Arabidopsis thaliana: one gene and its partners. The protein of the gene in region 1 interacts with the protein of each later gene in a pairwise test. Each region holds a gene or a part of one and is shown on either strand. Other genes may lie near its edges.

Region 1 (6,830 bases):
ATAACAACCCACTCACACAAAAAACGTTGCAAAAACAACACTTAAAAAAAGGAATATACATATATCATAAAATATTTGGTTGTTTGTTTTAAAGAATAAATGAAAATTTAAAATGAATAGTAACCTGGATGGAAGGATAAGAAACGATTTGCAATGTGCCGACGACGAGAAGGAACAACTTCATGACTTCTTTATAACATTGGAACATATCAGACAACGAATACTTAACCTTCTTCTGAATCTTAAACTGATCGAACCAACCGGTCCATTCGACAATCACAAGAGGAAAAGGAGCTAGTGAAAAGACAAGGAAGAGAACCAGAATGGTGTGGCAATATACATGGAAATTGGATTTGGTGGCTGAGTAATCGAACCAAACCGTCTCGAACCAAGTAAGGTTTCGTCCTAACGCCACGGACGCATCTTCTACGGTTGGATAAGGGATCATATTGTGAGAGTGTTGTGTCTGGATTAATTTGTGTGGTTTATGTTATAGCATTGTTTTGGAGTTATAGACTCATAAAACGTGTCTTGAATGTGTTTTGGAAAATGTATGATGAGGATGCTTGAAAAACTATATAAAGATGCACAAATGTCGAAACATGGTACCTACTTAATTAATTTCGGTGATTTTTCTTTTTTTTTGATTTTTCCAATTTTTGGTATATTATTTACCCTTTGAGAAGTCCGCCAAATTGGGTCCTCAATGTATTTGTTTTTTGACTTTTTAGTAGAACACAACAAAACATATCTTATCTCTTTACGTCTATATTTGATACGAACGGGTCACATTTTCGTTTTTTAAAAATATAAAACGAAAATTCAAAGTTACTAAGGTTGTTATTTTTTAGTAGTTATTTAGGTTAGAAGATATCTAAAATTGTATGTTCGGAAATATTTGTTGCAAATTCATTTATAGACCTATCATCAGGAGTAATTTCTTTTCACCAAATGATTTTGAATAGCTAAAGCCTTTCTTCATTGTTTAACAATCTACGAAACGAAGAGTGATGATCCATACGTCTAGAAAAGAAAAACTCGTTGATACACAAAATATGTGTGGACAAAAACTTAATATCAAGTTCATTAAAACTCTTTCGTGAATTGGTTTAAGAGTAAAAACTTATTGAAGTAGTTTACAATATAGCCTCATTAAACCAAAAAAAAAAATATAGCCTCACACAGCTACAACCCCATTCTTGAAGTTATTATCATATTCACTGTGTCCATGGTAATTCTAAGACAACGAGAACAAGGAAATGTGTGTTAAAGAAAAACTGTGTGTTGTTAGGTTTAGTTGAAAAAACACAGGAAGGAAGAGAGTGTTTCGATTTTAAAGTCATAAATTAGTTGGTAACAACTAAATAAGTTATTGTACCTACTACTGTACTTAAAACTGTTGTTTTCAAGTTTGGTGAGACAGCTTTAGTAAATGCATGTGTTTCGCTTGTTTTAGCCTTCTTTGATTAGATTTGTTTTCCGAGAGTGAAATCGACCCCCATCATCAATGCAACTATCGTTATGGTAAGGATTTTCCTTTTAAATCATGCCACTCAAATGCAACAAAAAGGAAAAGAAACGCCCACCGTGGGGCTCGAACCCACGACCACAAGGTTAAGAGCCTTGCGCTCTACCAACTGAGCTAGACGGGCCTTGTTGTTAACGTTAGATACTTAAGTTATACTTAACTTAACTTAATACTATCAGAGTAGGAACTTGTTACAAGCCAATGAATGCACTATGTAACATTTAAAATATACAAAAAGGATTTATTGACACACACCAATTCCAAAAGAGTTTTAAAAAAAACTTCAGATAGGAACTCGTCACGAGCATTTTCATGTGACACAGGGAAGACCAGAACAGAGAAAACTAACTACCCTTTCATTTTTAAGTATTGACTACATTTGTAGAATGCTTGAAACTTACGGTAAGTCAACCTCGCGAGGGGTTTTAGATTTACTAATCGAATTTCTCTCCTCCATTAACCAGCTTGTTGCTCTTCTTGGACTTCTCCTTCATCTGCAACTCATAAGATATAGCATCAAGAAACATATCATCAATATGATGATACTAGATACCACATATACTGTTATGTGAGCTTGCAATTTGATGGCTGCGTTTATGGGTATGCGGTATGCCGAGAGATAAGCTAGTCTCAGTTTATGGAGTATTTATTTACCTGCTGAAGAAGCTTCTTCTGGAATCGGTAACCCTGATGAAAATAAGAACATATACCCACATTGTCAAATTTTTATCCAGAATTAGTAGACGCTAACCGGAAAAGAACTGAAGTTTCATTACTCACTTTATCAGTTCCATAGATGTAATCGCAGTAAGTAAAAACTGAAGCAAAGTTACTCTGGCTTTGTCCTCCAACGTAGTGATGGTAATCATGATACTCAGCTCCACCATAAAATGGAATGTACTTTGTCAGAGACCATGGGAAATCATATCTTCAAAAGAAAACGAAAAATAAAAAAAACAAGTCAATTTATCTCCAGAGAAACAAGTTTCATGCACCAAGCAATCATCATATTGTCCAAATACTTATTTGAACAAGACAAGATGCTTATCATCTCAAGAATGATTTCTTGCTCATGTTGACCACAAAAGATTAACTAAGCAGTCTCTAAACAATCACCTAGAGCTAATTACAGTCAATAAAGCATCAGAAAAGGCTAGTGCCTAACCTTAGCCCCACCAACAAAAGGTAAACGCACTATTGAAACTTCCCACATAGCCCCAACGCATTATAAACTAAGATAAACAATTCAAAACCATTCCTTTTCCTTACCCGCTATGAGTTTCGATAGCCTCAATCTGTCGTAAAGCAATCCACAACCAAAAGGTAATCATATGACCAGGAGCAATAGCAGGTCCAAGAAACGTGGGAATGCCAAGAAGCAAAACCTCAGCCCAATGAGCATAAGGAGCAGCATAACCAATAGGAGCTGTATACTCATGATGAATATGATGAAACTTCTCATAACCCCATTTACAATGAAAGAATCTATGAACCCAGTAATTAGTATAATCCTCTACCAAGAAGTAAACCACTAACTGTGCTACAATCTCCATACATGATGGTAATGGTAATCCACTTCGTATCTCAATCATCTGTTTCAACACACGAAAAACAAAATCAACCTAAATCGCATCAATTCCGAAATTAGAAGCCAAATTCCAGAAATTAACCTGAATCGAAGGATAAGAAACGAGTTGTAATGGACCAACGACGAGGATGAACATCTTCATGACGTCTTTGTAACATTTGAACATCGATGAGAATGAGTTTTTCACTTTTGGTTGGATTTTGTAGCGATTGAACAAATCTGAGGTGGATTGAGATGATTCGATGAAAACGAGAGGGAGAGGAACGAGAGAGAAGATGAGGAAGAGGAAGAGAATGTTGTGGCAGTAGAGGTAGTAATCGGATTTGGTGGCGGAGTAATCGAACCAGAGAGTCTCTAGCCATGTGAGGTTTCGAGATAATGCGATCGACGCTTCTTCGATTGTTGCGTATGGGATCATTGTAGAAGATGATGAAATCGTTTCCTTCCGGTGACGGCGACGGTCGTTGACGTGAGATTGAGATTGAGATTGAGAGAGAGAGTGAGAGAGGAGAGTGTCGTCGTTGTTGTTGGATTTTGTCTGTTATGATTTGGCGAATATTTGGAGTAGTGACGTGGCATTATCGGTTTAGTTTACAAGTGTGATGTTTACTTGTTGAACCGGATTAAACCAAAATTACTAACATTGTCTCAAGATCTCGCTTACAACATAAAAAAGAGGGACAAAATGGCCCATACTAAAAGCCCATTATAAATTATTGGGCCATTAAAATGGATAAAATGTACTCCACAGTAGCGTTGTGTTTGGAGTAGGCCCAATTTTCTTTCTTTAATTGTTTAAATGGTGCATACAAATTTCTGTTTTTTTTTTTAAGAAAAAAAACTTTATTATACACTTGGATATACACATATATATAAAGACACGGATATACATACACGAGTTTTGTGGAATGTGTCTATGAATTTTTATGACACCATTATACTATAGAGATAGCAAAAGGTTGAAATAAATTGAGGCTGTTGGCCAATTGTATTTAAGTAATAGAATGGTATTACATCATCACGAAAAGTGACGTTACATTTGAAATTATAAAGTCTTACAATTTTTTCGTCATGACAATAAATGATATTTAAATGTAATAATACATATTTTTTAAGTTTCAAGTATACATAAAAAAGGGTCACAAACGATCGTTGTTAAATACTTGGTGGAAAACAAGTGCGTTACGCGTGAACATGAGTGCGTATGGCATAAGAGAAGTCGACCACACCATTAATGACTTTAAATCAAGCCCAAAAGTTCTTTCTTTTAACAGTGGAAACAAACCTCGGACCAATCTCAGCCACACAAATTCTCCTTTTTATTTTATGTTGTTTTTTCTTGACGTTGATGAATTCTTGTTTTTGGTTATAAATTTTTTATATTACTTCCATTACTCAGCACTTTCGTAAAATTTAATGAATTGATGATACTAGTTGAGTCTCCCTCCTCTCTAATTGTTTATGTGTTTTTTTTCATTTGTTTATGTGCTTCTCACTATCACCTTAGATTTTTTGTGTTTTACGAAACTTGTTTGGGTTTCTCGTTTTCTTGTTTAACGTGTCAACTTTTCTACAAATCCAATAGTTTTGTTTCCTTTACACTTTATAGGATTGTGAGTCTCCCAAGTAATCTTCTAAAACAATGCATCAAGAAATTTATATTCATTTGTACAAGTATATTATTGCCTTTTTCCAACACATTTTATCCATAATAAGGATAGATTTTTTAAAAAATACTCCGTATGCTAACCAGAAAACATTTTAGCTCCATAATTACATAGAAGTTTTAATCTAATACAGTGCTACAATTCAACGCATTTCTATTTTACTATAATAAACACAAGTACGTAAGAATCAGCACAAGATATCATACTATAAAAGAATCGATCGTCGACAGGAAATATAAATACTATATTACAAGAACCACGTCTATATTACTACCTTTAATCGTGTATTTTTTTTGGTCGGTTTGAATTTAAATGTTAAAATCCACACTTATGTTAAAAAGAAAAAAAAAAACAATTTGATTTGGAAAAACATTTGAAAAATACAAATGAAAGAAAAGAAGATAATAAAAGAGTAAAGCAAAGCAAAAGCAGAGAATAACTCTTAATTCGCTTCTTTGCCAAGCAAACCACCAAAACCTCTCAATTGTTTTTTCTTCTTCCTCCTCCTTAAGCAAAGATCATCATTCACGAAATGTCTGATTCGATTCACCGGAGAAAAGTTTCGAATCCTGTAGGAAATGGAGGTCGGAGCTCCAGAACAAGACGAACAGCTTTCAGATATGTTTCCGACAAGAATAATCGCTCTAAATCGAGTAATAAGGTTTTCGAGAGAAGCTTCTCAGAGCCGAGTCTTAATCGCCACCGCGACGGACAGAGTAATCACTTGCGGCGACCATCGCCGATGAGAGGTTTACCGATGGAAGAAGAAACAAAACCGATCGTTTACTTGCCTAGGATTCGCTCTGAGGTTTTCGCTTCGTCTCCGTCGTTGTTGAACTTATATTCGCCCTCGTCTTCATCTCCGATCAATCAAGAGGTCAGAGTCGTTTGCTTCTATTTTTTCAAATCAACAAATTCATGATTTCAACTCTGTAAGAGAATTCATCATTTAGTCCACAAAGATTTAAAAGTTTACAGTTTAAGCCTAATATTATAAAATATTTCAATATAACCATTATATAGGCTGAACAAAGAGTTTTAAGTTCAGCTGCAAATTCTAGAGTCAGTTCTCCAGTTCATGTTATCAGATCGTGATAAATATACCAAAAATTGACATTTCTATTAAATTTCTAAAATCAGAGAACCTCATTTTGTTATTATTTTTCGAAACAGGGTAATACAAAAGAAGCACCAAAAGTAATAATCAGTGTAGCAGTAGAAGGAAGTCCTGGACCGGTAAGAGCAATGGTTAAACTGAGTTGCAACGTCGAAGAAACGATCAAAATTGTCGTTGACAAGTACTGTAAAGAAGGAAGAACTCCAAAACTCGATCGAGATTCTGCCTTTGAATTGCATCAGTCACATTTCAGCATCCAGTGTAAGATATATTAATTATCCAAAAATAATAATTGTTTTTACATATAGAATTAATAAAATAAAAGCACAAATGATGTTTTGGTTGAAATTTTGAATCAGTTGTTTTCAGTTTGACGTAGATTGATTGGATTAAATATCTATACTCCATGATATCTAGTTTTGCTTTAATCACCAACGGTTATGGAAAATATCAAAACTACTCATGGCTCATGTGAACATAGAAACATCACATAATTCTTGAGTTATATAACCTATAATAAAGAAAATGGTGACTAAACCTAACGATTTACCTCTCTTTTTTGTCACATAATTGAATGGTTAAGACAATCAAAATATACTTAAGTTTGATGTAATGTAATTTTCAGGTTTGGAGAAAAGAGAAATAATTGGAGAATTAGGCAGTAGAAGCTTCTACATGAGAAAGAAAGCTCCTGAAACCGGAGGTTCGTTCGCCGGGATTTCTCCAGCGAGAACGAGCCTAATTCCGTCGTCGAATTTGATCGGATCGTGCATCGCTCAGTTGATTGGGAAAATCATGAGGAGAACAAGAAGGATATGGAACATATTGGTATGTGTGCAATGAGATAGACCAAAGTATACACTTTTGAGCGTGGCACATAATATTTTTTAGTTTGTGTTTTGCTCCACTCTCATCAAATAAGGGAACCTT
Region 2 (8,773 bases), on another chromosome or scaffold:
GCACATCGTCTCAAATTTTGGTATCTAGTAATATACTAGATGGAAATTCACTAAACTATCTTCCTAAATATAACACTTTTTTAGATGTTCATTTATCAACAAAAAATATATGTTTTATACTTTTTAGGTGTAGGTATTACTTTATTGAATACAAATTTATATAAAAATAGTAGATTTGTAAATACAGATATCTTTTTTTATTTTATATACGTGTGATGATATAACTAAAGCATCTAATGATTTGAAAACAGAGGTAATACAATAATATTACAGTAATAATTTTTAGGAGTACTTATTATCAGTCTCTCGTAAATTCACTTGATTACTAGGATATACTTTTTCTTCTTTTTTTCTTTTATCAAGTTATTAATTTAACCAATTTTCGTATATAGCTTATACCTCGCAGCTTTTTGTGTTAAATGACATTATGGATTGATGGTCAGTGAGTTATTAAAACGTGATACTTGTAACTACAGTATGCGAAAATAACTCAAATAGTTTCGACATTAAAATTCTCCAATTTACAGACTGGACCTTAATATCCAACAATTTCCATAACAACCAATTCAATAGCAAAGTAACAAAATACCCACCTTCTAAATTTTTAATAAATTACAACAAGAAGAAGACAAGGTAATTAGCTTGTGTGTAAATGGAGAAGGGACTGGAACAGAGCTAAAAAAAAATAGAGAGAACATTGAATAAGAAAGTAGAGTAGGTGAGAAAAATGAGTCTGACAAAATAATATATTTTTTTTGAATTTGAGAAGAAAAAATAAGTCTGAAACCTGACACATACCTCAATAGACCTTTCCTTCTTGAAGTAAGAAATGGAGGAAAAATGAGGAGGTGGCGTGTAAGTCAAGCAATCTTTGAATAATAATGTTTCAGAGACAATTCATTTTCTACAGTCTTCTTCTTTTGGAAGTGTCCCAGAATTATCTTCGTCCACAATCTACATTCACTCTTTCACAACATTATCGAACACCGAATTTAAATGAAATATATTCTGTAATGTTTCTCACCAAATTCTATGCATAGTGTTAACCTAGAGACCATTTCTTTCGACTGTATTATTTCACAAACGCCGAAATGTATATAGTAAAAACAATTTATGTTACCATTTGCTTTTTGCTTTATCCACAGTGTTTTTTTTTTTGTTTCGTTTCTTTAAAGTGTCCCATCACTTTTATTTGGATCTAACTCTGATTTTCTTGGGTTAAGTTGTTACGACGAGGCTAAGTAGTTATGATGATCACAAATTAAAAATGAAATGACATAATGAGTAGTGTGGATTAACAAGTTTGTCAAAAAGGAGATTGCAGAGTATCCAAACACCCACGTGCAAGGCAAATGACCATGTCACTCTCATCATTATGGCTTTTTATTCACTTTTTGTTTTTAAATTATTCTAATGTTCTAAGAAATTATTTTAAGAGATTTTTTTAATAGCAGGATAATCTAATGTTGAATTCTTGATGTATTGATTAATTACGATTTTTTTTAAAAACTAAATTAGGTATTTGGTATTGAAACTGTTCATGTGGATGCATGAAAGACCACAAATAAATTTTTGGATAATGAAATTTCATTTTTGGTTCCTACTAGCGAGTCTTCTGCCATCATCAGACACCGCACTTAATTTTGTACGAACTTTTTCATTCAAATCTGGTTGCACCATTTTTAATTTTGTACTGAACATAAGTACTTTACTTATAATCTGGTTTAGGCAGAAACTTTCAAATACTTGTATCATTTAACTTGGAAACGTAATTACTTAGCGTATAATGATATATAGCCTGTAGGATATAGAATCACAAATTAGTGATAAGTATTTTGATACAGTAGTTTATATCCTCAGAATCTAACAGTATGATATTGTTTAGCAATATATAATGTTTTGTGAATAATGAATGTTAGTTTTCTTTGCATTCATTATTTGGATTAAGTCACATAAGAAAATATAATTGTTAATTTGGAATGGATAGTTTAACCGATTAGATACGAGTAACTTTATAAGATGGGGTTCGTCTTAAAGTCGACATTAGCAGGGAAAACTACTAATTTAATCTCTTGGTCGAAGTTACTATACATCGTAAAGTCCGAAACTTCTTAGATACATAGAAAATTATACAGTTAAACATATACTATTATTCATATTTTTGTTAAAACATAAACTATTATTCATGAGGTCAATTGTTACATGGGTTTGGTAAACTTTCGTATGCTATTATTTTATTATATTCTTTGGGCCGACTCTTTGAGATGTTGACTTATTAGTGTGATAAGGAGAAAGCGAATTAAAAAAAACTTTATATATGATTGCACTTACTTTAATGAATCCATTTTTTAACTTTAAACTGAAAAAAAAGAATTGAATAACAAAAAGTTTCAATTTGTCAAGAAAAGAGGAAGAGAGAGAGCCAAAACAAAAGCTGTTAACCTCATGGGATGTTTTCCATTCTCAATTATTAGTAAACTTTTGTTATGATTTTTGATCCGTTCCTTTCGATAATTGGATGTGATTTGTGGAAAGCCATTTACATGTTTAGTTACAGTATAATGATATAGTTGAAGCTCTCATAAACTTTTTAAGAGTTTAAGTCTGATTAGAAGACATCTTTAGAAGATAATACAATATTGAAATTCTTGTGATTGATTCTTCTACATTGCAAATTCACTTCCAACAACTATTTCATCAAAAAATCTATAGAATAGTTATGGTTTCGAAGTATATAACATTAACATATTTAACTAATTTGAAATGTACATAAATAATAATAAATTGGATTTATTTCAAAAATAAGTCAATAACACCAGACCATTTTATGTTTGACGTAAGTAACATGGATGATGGAACATTGGAAGTTTGATGTACAATGTACTGTTTTTTTCTTTTCTCTTCTTTTTGAAATATCTATGTAAGTTAATCTTCTCCATTTTAGATATTTTCTTCACAAAAAAACGAATATTTCTGGCATTTATGTTTCAACTTGTATTTAGCTAAGATTAGGAAAATGACGTTTTATCTAACTTTTTTTCTTTCATACTACTAACAAATCATTTCTAAGTTCTAACTAAGAATGAAAATTGTCGTGTGCCATATAGGATAAAACCTCACTCTATAAAAATCATTATGATAAATTAATTAATAAAATTAAAAAATTAAAAAACAATTTGCCTTGAGGGAAAAAGAAAATGTAGTATTTAAATAACAGCCATTTATTATTGCTCACTCGTCGCAGAAAACAGAGATTCCTCGCTGTCTGAACTGAAAAATAAGATCGCATTAACTCAAAACTCTCACAAAGACAAAGATCTTCTCCTCCTTCTCTTCTCTTTTTCACTTTTCTCTCTTCCCCTCTCTCGAAGCTTGAAAGGTAACAACAATGGAGAACCCTCCGGATCAAACAGAGTCAAAGGAGACTCTTCAACAACCCATTACAAGAAGAAGAACAAAGGGTGGTCTTCTCACTATGCCCTTCATCATTGGTAACAAACGATCTCTCTCACTTTTTTAGACAAAAACCCAAATCTTGTTACTAATTTTATCTCATCTTGTTTGTTACTCGGTGAAGCAAACGAGGGGTTCGAGAAAGTGGCGAGCTATGGATTATTACAGAACATGATTCTTTATCTGATGAGTGATTACAGATTGGGACTTGTTAAAGGACAAACTGTCTTGTTCATGTGGGTTGCTGCTACTAATTTCATGCCTCTCGTTGGAGCTTTTCTCTCAGATTCATATTTGGGTCGCTTTCTCACCATTGTCATTGCTTCTCTCTCCAGTCTCCTGGTAATTTCCGTCCCCTATTTAACCGGTTTACGCTTCTTCTTTCTCCCGGTTTACTCCGGTTCAATTTTTTAGCCACTTCTTTGACTCAACATTTTTCACCACCTAGTTAGCCTTTGGTTTGGAAATGCTTTGTTTATGTTTACTGTCAGTAAAGGTTGAGTTTTATTAAAATTGGGAATCTAAACCGAAAGTTTCGGTTTAAGTTGATTTGGGTGAAATATCGTGCTTGTATTCAGTGTTTTATTACTTGGCTTTAGACAATTGGACCTTACTTACATGCATTGATAATTGGAGTTAAATTCCGGTTTGATAGTTTTCGATAATTGGACTTGACTTTACTTGCGTCGACAACAAAAAGAGAATTCCATAAAATCTAACCAAGTCATAGAATTAAGGGCCAAGAATTAAATGGTACGAGGTTTTGTATGTAATTATTTAATTATTTTATATTCTCGAAATAGTAAAAAAAAGATTGGTATGGTAAATTTCAGGGGTTTTTACTAAAATTTTATAACTTTTTACCGTTGGTTTTGCTAAATCATTGATAGCTGTATATTTCTGCTTTAAGTACTATAATATCTAATGATAATCATCTACAGTGAAATTTCTAATTTAAGAGTTGATATGATTAAGCTTTTTAGAAGCCTTTTTCCATTAAGAGTCAAAATTTTCACATGTTGCATGTGCTTCCCTGAAATTGCTGTCCAATGAATGGAGAAACTAAACCCGCTTTGATTTGTTTTTAATATTTGTGTCCATCAAAAATATAAAAGTCGGTAAAATTAAATTCGAAGCCAGGTGTTCTGAAATGTCCATGTGAGTTTATATAATAACAGGTCTTAAATAATCATAAAGTATTTAATATCATTATTAATTCCTTAAAATCTTGTTTGTTGCTTTCCTTGTGGTTATGGTCTTGTGGGCTTTCTCTGGCAACTTGTGTGATTGTGAGTGACCACACTGCTTGCATCTCTCTATGTATAAAAAATATCATTTTGTTATTACTTTTTGTTGTATGTAGACTTAGAGTTTCATTATTTATATGTCCAAATATATGGGTCAAGCTGACGTGGACCTACATTTTGCCACCATTTAAGGATTTGACATTAGTTTTTTGGCCAACATATAAGTGTTAGACATGAAAGCAATATCGATTGGTGACCCATGTTTTTGTACTACTTGTCCCATTCTTGATCAAACTTATTATTTCACCCACTTGGAAAAAAAAACTTATCATATACATAGTGACATCAATTGATTTTGAAATCTCTACATCAATCATTCATCTCGAGTATCAATCATTTTCCGTAAGAAAATAATGTTTTCGTATGATGGATGTGACAATTGACGTACGTGTAGATTCTGATCTAATACTTGGATTCTTGTTCTTGGAAGTACTTTTTTTGGAAGACATCTACAGATTTTACGAATGAAGTGATAACTACATTTTTATTATGAAAAACAAAAACGTCAAAATCTAACCTACTACATTGTTTTAATAAATTTGTCTGAATCAAAAATGTTACAGGGGATGGTGGTTCTATGGCTAACGGCGATGTTGCCGCAAGTAAAACCATCACCGTGTGTAGCAACAGCCGGAACCAACTGCAGTTCCGCGACATCTTCTCAATTGGCTCTCTTGTATACCGCATTCGCATTAATATCGATTGGATCAGGAGGAATCAGGCCATGTTCTTTAGCCTTTGGTGCTGATCAATTGGACAACAAAGAGAATCCTAAGAACGAGAGAGTTCTTGAGAGTTTCTTTGGTTGGTACTACGCTTCTTCATCAGTTGCTGTCTTGATCGCTTTCACCGTCATTGTTTACATTCAAGATCATCTAGGATGGAAAATCGGGTTTGGAATACCCGCGATTCTCATGCTGCTCGCGGGTTTCTTGTTTGTTTTCGCGTCTCCTCTCTACGTTAAGCGCGATGTGAGCAAGAGTCTGTTCACTGGTTTAGCTCAAGTGGTTGCTGCAGCTTACGTGAAGAGAAACTTAACTTTGCCGGATCATCATGACTCCAGAGATTGTTATTACCGTTTGAAAGATTCTGAACTCAAAGCTCCAAGTGACAAATTGAGGTAAAGTGAAATCAGTTTCACATATATAGTTCTTGGTTAGTTTTTTTATTTATTGATACTTTCTTGCAATTGCTTAGGTTTTTAAACAAAGCTTGTGCCATAAGTAACCGCGATGAAGACCTTGGTTCTGATGGTTTGGCCTTAAACCAGTGGAGGCTATGCACAACGGACCAAGTTGAGAAACTCAAGGCGTTGGTCAAGGTGATACCGGTATGGTCCACGGGGATAATGATGTCGATAAACGTTAGCCAGAACTCTTTTCAGTTGCTTCAAGCTAAATCAATGGACAGACGTTTAAGCAGCAATTCGACCTTCCAAATCCCAGCTGGATCGTTTGGTATGTTCACAATCATAGCCTTAATCTCATGGGTTGTTCTGTACGACCGCGCAATTCTCCCTTTAGCTTCAAAGATCCGAGGCAGACCAGTTAGAGTCAATGTCAAGATTCGAATGGGATTAGGGCTATTCATATCATTCTTAGCAATGGCGGTTTCCGCAACTGTTGAACATTACAGAAGGAAAACCGCGATAAGCCAAGGACTCGCAAACGATGCCAACTCAACAGTGAGCATCTCAGCAATGTGGCTTGTACCACAGTATGTACTACACGGTTTAGCAGAGGCCTTGACCGGGATAGGACAGACCGAGTTTTTCTATACCGAGTTTCCTAAAAGCATGTCGAGTATCGCAGCTTCGTTGTTCGGTCTAGGAATGGCAGTGGCTAATATCTTGGCTAGTGTGATCCTAAATGCGGTAAAGAATAGCTCAAAGCAGGGCAATGTGAGCTGGATTGAAGATAACATCAACAAGGGTCACTATGACTATTACTATTGGGTTTTAGCGATCTTGAGCTTCGTTAATGTCATCTACTACGTTGTGTGTAGCTGGTCCTATGGTCCTACGGTGGATCAGGTGAGGAATGATAAGGTTAATGGTATGAGAAAAGAAGAAGAGGAAGTTATTAAATTAAACTAAGACCAATTGGTTGATCATAATTAAATGGTGTACGTGTGTTATAAAATTCTATATATTTGTATGTAATTAGATTATTATATCATGGATTTGGATTTTCTTAGGATGTAGAGGTTGATGTTAATTAATGGGTCGTGTGTTTATTTAATTATTACAAAAAAAAAAAAAACATTGTGTGTATGATATTTGATTGAAGAGAATCAAATTTTCAAAATGGTGATTTGTGGTGTTTTTGACTTTGGGAAATTGAATCACTTAAATTAAGAAAAAATCAAAGCTTACTAAGAGTAGAAACATTTTGTATGGCTTTGACGCTAAGTGGAGCCATCCACAATCTTCCTGTGGCTATAATTTCTCCACTTGTTTCTCTTCTAATCTCAATCACAGCTGATTTTAATCCTCCATTGCTTCCATTCACTCTTGCTTCTATCTCTACCGTTTCCTGCAATTTTGTAGTTTTTTCTTATCATTATTACTTCTAATCATTACTAATAATAGTAATTTACCTAATTTAGTAGTTTGCATGTTTCATAACAAAAAAAACGAGAGAAAAATGAGGATAGGGAAAGCGAACGTGAATCTTGGCCGTTGAATAAAACGAAGAGTTGAGATCAACAGAGATATGGAGTCCGCCGCCGGAGGAGTACACAGCTGACGCTCCGATCGAGTCCATCACCGCCGTAATCACTCCCGCATTCCAACTTCCATCTTCTCCCTGAGAATCATCTTTCGCATTGTTTAGTAATAATAACGTTCACCAATCAAAAACACAAAAAAGGAAGCTTAAAACTAGATTCGTTGGATTAAGTAAATTTTATTACCACGACATGATCTGTGACAAGTAATTTACAACGTAAGATCCCTTTCCCGACATGGATGAGTTCTAAGCCTTTCAAGATTAAAATCTCGAACTCGGTTTGCCCGTTTCCTTTTGCTATCTCTTCGAGATACGTCGTCGTGTTATGGATCGTTGGATCTACCATACTGTCCCTTCTTCTTCGTCTTTTTACGTTCTCGTTACAAAACAAACTTGCGTGTGGGAATATATGGTTATCGGATCATCATAGTTAATTACCATTATACCCTTTTGGAATGATTACTGATTTAGCATCAAAGAGTCAAAGACTATGGTCAACTTTCCTTCTTTCACACTATACAATTTTGTTGTTCTTCACACTAAACAAAGAAATAGTATATAACAAAGATTTACTTCTCAAATAGTTAATTTGGTATTGATTCTTGACATTATTGAGTCAAAGTACATGATACAGGAAAGAAGGAAATTACATTTTATGCATACGTGTCATATAATCAAAAGAACAAGGAGTAGCAATGAAATCCATGGTTGTCTTTATTCTTGATTTTCCAGAGATTTCTTTAGCTCTTTTTTGTTCACCTGCAACTCGAAAAAAATACTCATACACTGAGAATGATTCTTATTGGTTACAACAAAACAACTATCTCTGATATCATTCAAGAAAAAAGAAAAAATTTGAGAGAAATATAGCTACCTTTCCCATGGCGTTGCGAGGCAAGCTCTCCCATATCAGCAATCTTGTTGGTAGCTGAAAAGACAGAATATTATGGACAAGAAAAAAAAAGAAAAAAAGATTGACAAGACTGTTGCGCGTTTTGACAACACTTTGGCAGATTTTTAGTACCTTGTAAGGAGCAAGCTTGTCTTTAGCCCAACCGCACAGTTCTTCTAAGGTTATTACAGGTTTTGACTCATCCTCTCTTCTCTTCTTTGCTGCACTCTCTGCTATAATTATCGCAGTCACGGCTTCTCCATAGTCGTTGTCTGTTAACCCCAACACGCAACATTCTGCAACAGTAGGGTGCTGCATAACACATCCCCCAGAGATATCATACAACGATTAAGTTCTCTCGGTTCAGTTATCTAAAGCCTATTTCCCAAGGA
Region 3 (6,577 bases), on another chromosome or scaffold:
AATTTATTGAAATCATACCCTCACAGCACGATCAGCAGCTTCACAGGCAACAACAGTTGCTTCAATATCACCAGTATGCCCCACCATATCTCCATTTGGCAGGTTTACACGCACCTGAAAATCCATTGGCACCAAACTCAGAAGCCAATTGTTTTAATGGGTTGATACAATGTGATAAGAGAATACACCTTACCTGGTCAAACTTGCCACTAAGGATAGCATCCCTTGCTTTCTCGGCAATTTCCAGTGCTTTCATCTTTGGCTGGACATTGAATGATATTCCACTATCACTTGGAATCTCAACGTACTCTTCTAACTTTTCATTGAAATATCCAGAGCGGTTGCCATTCCAGAAGAAGGTTACATGGCCAAACTTCACAGTCTCACTGTTTCAGTGAAATAAAATTTTAATAGGTTAATAGCTGAGAATTCATTCATTATATGTAACTAACCATCAACGGTATAATCTCATCAAGAAAAAGTGAGCTAGGAGATTTCACTAGTTTTAATCAACAAACAACCCCCAATCATAAATTAGACCTCTACCGAGCAAGTAAAGAAGACTGGATTACTCTTATCACAGTTTCAATTATGAATCCAATTCCAGCAAATAAATAAACCAGGAAGCAGCAATAGAAGAAAATGGCAAAGACAATAACTAAAGATTTGAGAGATTCTAAAAGTTAACCTGCAAGCAAAAGTACGAACGCCATTGTGTGCCAGATATTCACCAGAAGTTCTGTCAATCAATGGTGGAGAAACAAGATAGCGGCTAGGAAGCTTAAGCTCTCCATCATATTGGAGCATTCCTGCATAACGTATATCAGGGACACGTACGCGATCAAACTTGTCGAAATCTTTGTATTCGAGGGCCTTTGCATGCATGACCATTCGATCAGCACGGAAATTGAATGTAACAACTGCGTCACCATCAACAATTGGACCCACAGCCTTTCCATTATCATCAACAATAACAAACGAAGGCAAATACTGGTCATTGGCACCAGGTTCTGCCCTCAGTGTCTTAACTGCTTCAAGAGCGCTTTTAAATTTGTGGGGAGCTTCCCCAAGGACTTGTGCATCCCAACCTCGTTTAACAACACTCCAATCATTCTGCAAGGAAGGAAAGCAAAAATTGGATTCATTTCTAAACTAGACTAGACAAGGCATGACATTCATACAAGATCTCACAAGCATTGCCTACCTCATAACGGTCCATTGTGACATACATTCGACCTCCACCAGATGCAACCTGAGCATCAACACCTTTCGCACGTAAAGCAGCTAGGTCAGCTTCAAGAGTTTCAACAAATCCGACACTAGAACCATCCAAAACATCACGACCATCAGTAAGAATATGGACGCGGATTCTCTTAGCACCACGTTCTGCAAAACCCTTAAGCAGCAACTGCACCAAACAGAACCAAATTAAAGAAAATTAACAAACGCCAACGTTTCAAAAGAAATGTGTAACAGATGAGAATTAAGTACCTGGACTTGATCCAAACGAGAGTGAACTCCACCATCGCTTAGAAGACCAATAAGGTGCACAGTGCCTTTCTCAAAAGATTGAGAGATGTATTTGAAACCTTCATCTTCATAGATTTTCCCTGAAGCAAGGGCGAGATCAACAAGCTTAGCACCTTGAGCGTAAATTCGACCAGCTCCAAGAGCATTGTGGCCAACTTCACTGTTTCCCATGTCGTCTTCGCTGGGGAGACCAACGGCGGTACCATGAGCTTTGATCAACCTCCATGTGTCGGGCTTCCCCTGTGAAGAATAAAATCGAACCGTTGAAGTCCATAATCGGAATCCAGCGAAATCATCGAGGAAAGAAGTGGATATAAACAAAAAAGGAAACATACGTCTTTAAGGGAATCCATGGCAGGAGTTGGAGCTTTATGGATGCAATTGTATTGATCGGGATCAGATTCACCCCATCCATCGAGAACAATCAAACCGATAGTTTTGCCTTTGGGAAGCTTGGGGTGGTCCGCAAGTTTCCAGTTAACGTCGCCGGAGCTACCCATAACTGTGGATTCAGATCCACTCGTCGGTGAGAAATTAAAGGTTTAAGGAACAGATCTGAGAAGCGAGAGAGAGAGAGATAACGGAAGCTTACCAGCGGAGAAACAGAGGAAAGCTTCTCAAAGAGTCTTATGGAGATTCGCAGAGACAGAAGTGGTTATGTGGTGAAGTATGGTAGGTTGAGAGCTATCACTGACATAATATGAGACTTTTATAGAAACATAGAAATGGAAAAGTTAGCGATGACGTGGTACCAATTTAATGGGCTTTACTTTGGGCTCAAGTAAACATTGTGAAGCCCCCAAAAAAATGGAAGGAGACGAATGTTCTAGTTTTAGCTGCTATGAACGAATGTTCTGGATCATGCCGTTTGTAATAGTCATGGTGTGCGCCATGTAAAAAAAATTGTATATACCTTTTTATTTTGGTCAACGTAAAAAATAGCATACAGAAAAGGTCAAACCGGAGTTAACTTAATAGTTTATACGGTATTTGAACCAGAATTTGATCAAAAATGGGTAAGTTTTAGTAACTGGGATTACATTAATTTCTGTTGACAGTAACTTTTTTTTATCTAAATCATTATTTAAACCTTGAGATTGCATTAAATCAAACTGAAATTACACGAAAACCAAACCGAAAACTCATGTAAGAAATTCAGGGTTGTGCACATTTATTTATTCAATATCATCATAATATTAACTGGGAACCTTCAAAAGGTTGGTAGAAGGCTAAAAAACAATTTCTAATGGGCCAAAGACAAAAAGTTGAGTTCCTATATATTGGGCTTAAAAAGCCTGAAACTAGATGAGACGTGGTTCATAGTCAGATAAATGGGCCAAGGATAAGGAAAGACAAAAACAAAAGTAGAAAAGAATCATACAGTATACATATATGGGAAATATACAGAGAGAGATACAGATAACACAATAAGAGGTAGACGGACAACTGTTACGGCGAAATTGAATGCCGCAATGTATCAATATGATTGGTCGAAAAGGAAAGTAAAAAAAACAAACAAAATATTAAATTTTTGTTAATGTGTAAAGGGAGAAAAAATCAGATGAACAGGCTGTATCATTTTTTTTTTTGTGAACAAATGGGACTGACGACAACACTCTTCTTCTCCTTTTTGTCCTTTTGGCTCTCTCCTTCTCTCCTTTCTCTCTCTCTCTCTTTTCCACCGGCGACCATTCATTCTCTCTCCTCCTCCTCCTCCTCCTCCTCCTCAGCTTCCTCCATTGCTCCTTAACCCTCATTCCTCGATTTGTTCTTCTCTTCACCATTTCCCCTTTTTACCCTTTTTCTACTCAGACGTGACGGCGACTTTTTATTCCTGTGTCTCCCACCTTTGACTCGCCCTGGGGGGATTTTTTTTTGCTCCAGAGGCGAAAGAAACAAAAAAAAGCAATGGGGTTTCTCCGTTGTCTCCAGCTGCTGCTGCTTCTGTTTCTATCTCTTCGTCTACAAAAGCTCTCTGCTCAATCTTCTTCACCCAATGCTTCTTCTTCTTCTTCACTCGATGCTCTTCTTCAAGATTACTCTTTTAGAGCCTTGCTTCGTCCTCGTACCGGCATTCTCTACGAGGCTACTACTGTTCCTTCCAATTTGACTGGGATCAAACTCGCTGCTATGAGACTCAGAAGCGGAAGCTTTAGAAAACGTGGAGTCACTCCTTTTAATGAGTTCTCAATTCCCAGCGGCGTTATCGTCAAGCCGTATGTGACAAGGCTTGTTTTGGTTTATCAAAACCTAGCTAATTTCTCTCACTTGTATTACCCTTTGTCTGGTTATGATTATGTCGCTCCTGTCTTGGGTCTTCTCGCTTACGATGCTAAGAATCTCTCTGCGCTTAATTTGCCTCAGCTTGATTTAAGGGTGTCTAATGATCCTATCAGAATCGATTTCTCTGATCTGGAACGAATCCCGCAAGGGTCTAGTGCTAAGTGTGTTAGATTCGATTCTAAAGGTGAAGCGAGTTTCAGCGATTCGATTCAGCCTGGAAACACATGCGAGACTGAGCATCAGGGACATTTCTCTGTGGTGGTGAAATCTGTGGCTTCTGCTCCGAGTCTAGCTCCTCCTGGGATTGAGAGTAAGAAGAAGAAGAAGAGCTCTGATTCCAATTCCAAGACTTGGATCATTGTTGGGTCGGTGGTTGGTGGATTGATACTGTTGGGGCTTTTACTGTTTCTGGTTTTGAGATGTCGAAATTACAAGAAGCAAGAGAAAATGAGGGAGATGGAGAGAGCTGGAGAGACAGGGGAAGCTCTGAGGATGACTCAGGTTGGTGAAACAAGAGCACCAACTGCTACTACGACTCGTACACAACCAATGCTTGAAACCGAATACGCAGCTTAGGATACTTTTGTGTACATCATCATCATCATCACATCTTCTTGATCATCTGTTACTGTCTTTTTCTTTTTTTCTTCTACAATTATTCTTCTTTTGGTAAAGTGTTTCTTTTTCTGATTATTTTTTCTTTGTGGTAAGCAAGTTGATACTTCCACATTCATCTTGTTTCTCTGCTGGTGATAAGGAAATAAGTAATATTGTTTTCTTCTTGTGCTCTCAAATTAACAAACTTTGGTGGTCTCTCCATGAGAATGAAAAGAGTTGGATTGTTTCTGGAGTGCACTCACTTTGTTTTCTTCTAACTACTTTTGCTGTAAAGCTTTGCCCTTTTTGTAATAATTTCAACATCTTTTTGTCTGAGAAGCAGACAGTTGAAGAAGATGTATATCATCCTATCATCCATACTCAACTTTGTTACATTGAGCTTAGCATTCTTCAAAAGGAACTAGTGTGTTCTTGAGATTTGTTGAGTTTTAACATTTTTTGCAGCTATCTGCTTCATGCAACTTGTTGACCCTCACATTTATATTAGAAGATCACCGATGAACCAATAGATTTTGGAACCAAAGAGGTTAGAATCCGGTAGGATATGTAGAAGATGATTTGCACTTGGCAATGTTACAACGTTTATGTTTACATCTAGGATTGTCTTGTTTGCTTACCTTATATGAAAAGTCATCTCGTTCATATGGATTTTTTGCATTCTACATTTTAGAAAAGCACCGTTTGCCACTTCAGGTATGTAACAATGTGCACAGCTACAAATCTTTGCACTGAACAGATTTGGAATAAAGTTTGAGTTAAAGTGAATACATGACTTGGTTAATCCTGGCTTGGGCCATCTTGTGGCCTCTTGCTCATATCAAGTAAAATGCCATGACAACAACGTTAATGGCTAAGTTAGCATTGCAGCATCTCCTCTGACTTCTGCAGATACCAGGAGATTTTTTGTCTCATCATTCCAAAATCTTAAGGTTGAAAAAGAGATGAAGTAAAATGTATAAATGCGGTATTAATTGTGTTTCAAGGACACACAAATAATTGCCAGTTTTTGTCAAAAGGAAACTATAGTTGTAGAATATTCGTCTCTTTTCTTCTTTTTCTGTTATCTGTTCTATTAGAAAGCTAAAGAAATACATCAAAGTCAGGTCTCAACGGTAAAATGAAAACAAGCTTCTTTTTCACTAAAGAGTAAAAGAGATTCCTCTCAACATTGGTCTTTCATATTTTTCCTAGCTCATATTCTGGTGTGGTTGATCGAATCTTAATGAACCGGAGAAAATAAAAGATTTGATTATGTAATTTATCATAATCAAGAGCTTGTTTGTGAACACATGAAAAAGTAAAGGAAAGAAGAAGAACTCTCTCTGCCTGAGGAGTTGTAATTTTTGGCAGAAGCTGGTGTCGTTTTAAAGAGAAATTAGAAGTGAATCTATGTAGTTGTGTTGGTTGGTAAGATCGATTTAGTTACATTAAATAAAAAATATTCCTTTGAGCAAAAACAATTAAAAAAGATAGGTTTCGTCACAAGGTGGACCATTTCGAAGAAGAATTAAGAGACGAGCCCACTTGAAAGAGACATAGCGAGGGGACCCCATGTGAATCTGCAAGCAGAGACAGAGGCTTTGACCGTTCTCATTCATCAACCATCCTCCATTATTAGCCAGAGTCATAAACCATGTGATTCATCATCACAAGGCTTCATTGGACTCTCTCATGCATATTCACAATCTCCACTTCCATCTTATACAATTCCAGTTCCTACCCGCAACAAATCCAACACCTGAAGATGATACTGATGCTTTTGAAAGTATAACTAGGAATGAGAGAAGTACTAGGATGAGCCATCTTTCCAGATATTCATTTATTCACTCACACAGCAAGAGAGTAGTTCAGTGTATCATGCAACTTAAAAGCATACAAAATATCACGAATAGAGAAATATTGATAAACCAAATGTTATTGAGGTCTGATTTCTGAAAGCTTTAATATGTCCAAGGAAAATCAAATGGGAATGAAAGTACTAGATCCCCCAGCTTCTTCTTCTTCTGGAATGCACTTTATTTGTCACCACAAGTGGTCACCTTAAGCCCCTACATCACATCACCATATTACTCTCAGAGTTAACATCGCAAGCCAGAGGAGAAGAAAAGAAAGTAGTGAGAGGATTTCGCATGCAGAGAAGAAAGAA

What was found.
Region 2: the proteins of SMO1-2 (region 1) and AT3G16180 interact in a protein complementation assay, tested with the Arabidopsis thaliana proteins (one large-scale study listed by BioGRID).
Region 3: the proteins of SMO1-2 (region 1) and AT3G08600 interact in a protein complementation assay, tested with the Arabidopsis thaliana proteins (one large-scale study listed by BioGRID).

The regions. Positions count from the first base shown.
Region 1 is NC_003075.7:11,953,162-11,959,991, forward strand, and holds SMO1-2 (sterol C4-methyl oxidase 1-2), read right to left. Parts: upstream 3,758-6,830; 5' UTR 3,535-3,757; coding exon 3,199-3,534; intron 3,121-3,198; coding exon 2,798-3,120; intron 2,457-2,797; coding exon 2,309-2,456; intron 2,216-2,308; coding exon 2,183-2,215; intron 2,023-2,182; coding exon 1,963-2,022; 3' UTR 1,679-1,962; downstream 1-1,678. Other genes in the region: AT4G22755 (methylsterol monooxygenase 1-3), read right to left, coding at 125-448; AT4G22758 (PPR containing protein), read left to right, coding at 5,316-5,660, 5,957-6,161, 6,526-6,743. UniProt on the Arabidopsis thaliana protein: Non-heme iron oxygenase involved in sterols biosynthesis by catalyzing the removal of the first methyl group at the C-4 position. 4,4-dimethyl-9-beta,19-cyclopropylsterols such as 24-methylenecycloartanol are the preferred substrates.
Region 2 is NC_003074.8:5,479,559-5,488,331, reverse strand, and holds AT3G16180 (Major facilitator superfamily protein), read left to right. Parts: upstream 1-3,144; 5' UTR 3,145-3,388; coding exon 3,389-3,491; intron 3,492-3,577; coding exon 3,578-3,795; intron 3,796-3,801; exon of another isoform or gene 3,802-5,315; intron 5,316-5,323; coding exon 5,324-5,880; intron 5,881-5,957; coding exon 5,958-6,855; 3' UTR 6,856-7,007; downstream 7,008-8,773. Other genes in the region: AT3G16175 (Thioesterase superfamily protein), read right to left, coding at 7,124-7,294, 7,427-7,567, 7,674-7,835; AAE13 (AMP-dependent synthetase and ligase family protein), read right to left, coding at 8,204-8,248, 8,364-8,417, 8,514-8,693. UniProt on the Arabidopsis thaliana protein: Low-affinity nitrate transporter involved in xylem-to-phloem transfer for redistributing nitrate into developing leaves. Not involved in dipeptides transport.
Region 3 is NC_003074.8:2,609,208-2,615,784, forward strand, and holds AT3G08600 (transmembrane protein, putative (DUF1191)), read left to right. Parts: upstream 1-2,967; 5' UTR 2,968-3,438; coding exon 3,439-4,389; 3' UTR 4,390-4,811; downstream 4,812-6,577. Other genes in the region: iPGAM2 (Phosphoglycerate mutase, 2,3-bisphosphoglycerate-independent), read right to left, coding at 19-114, 194-386, 689-1,113, 1,205-1,408, 1,492-1,770, 1,866-2,030.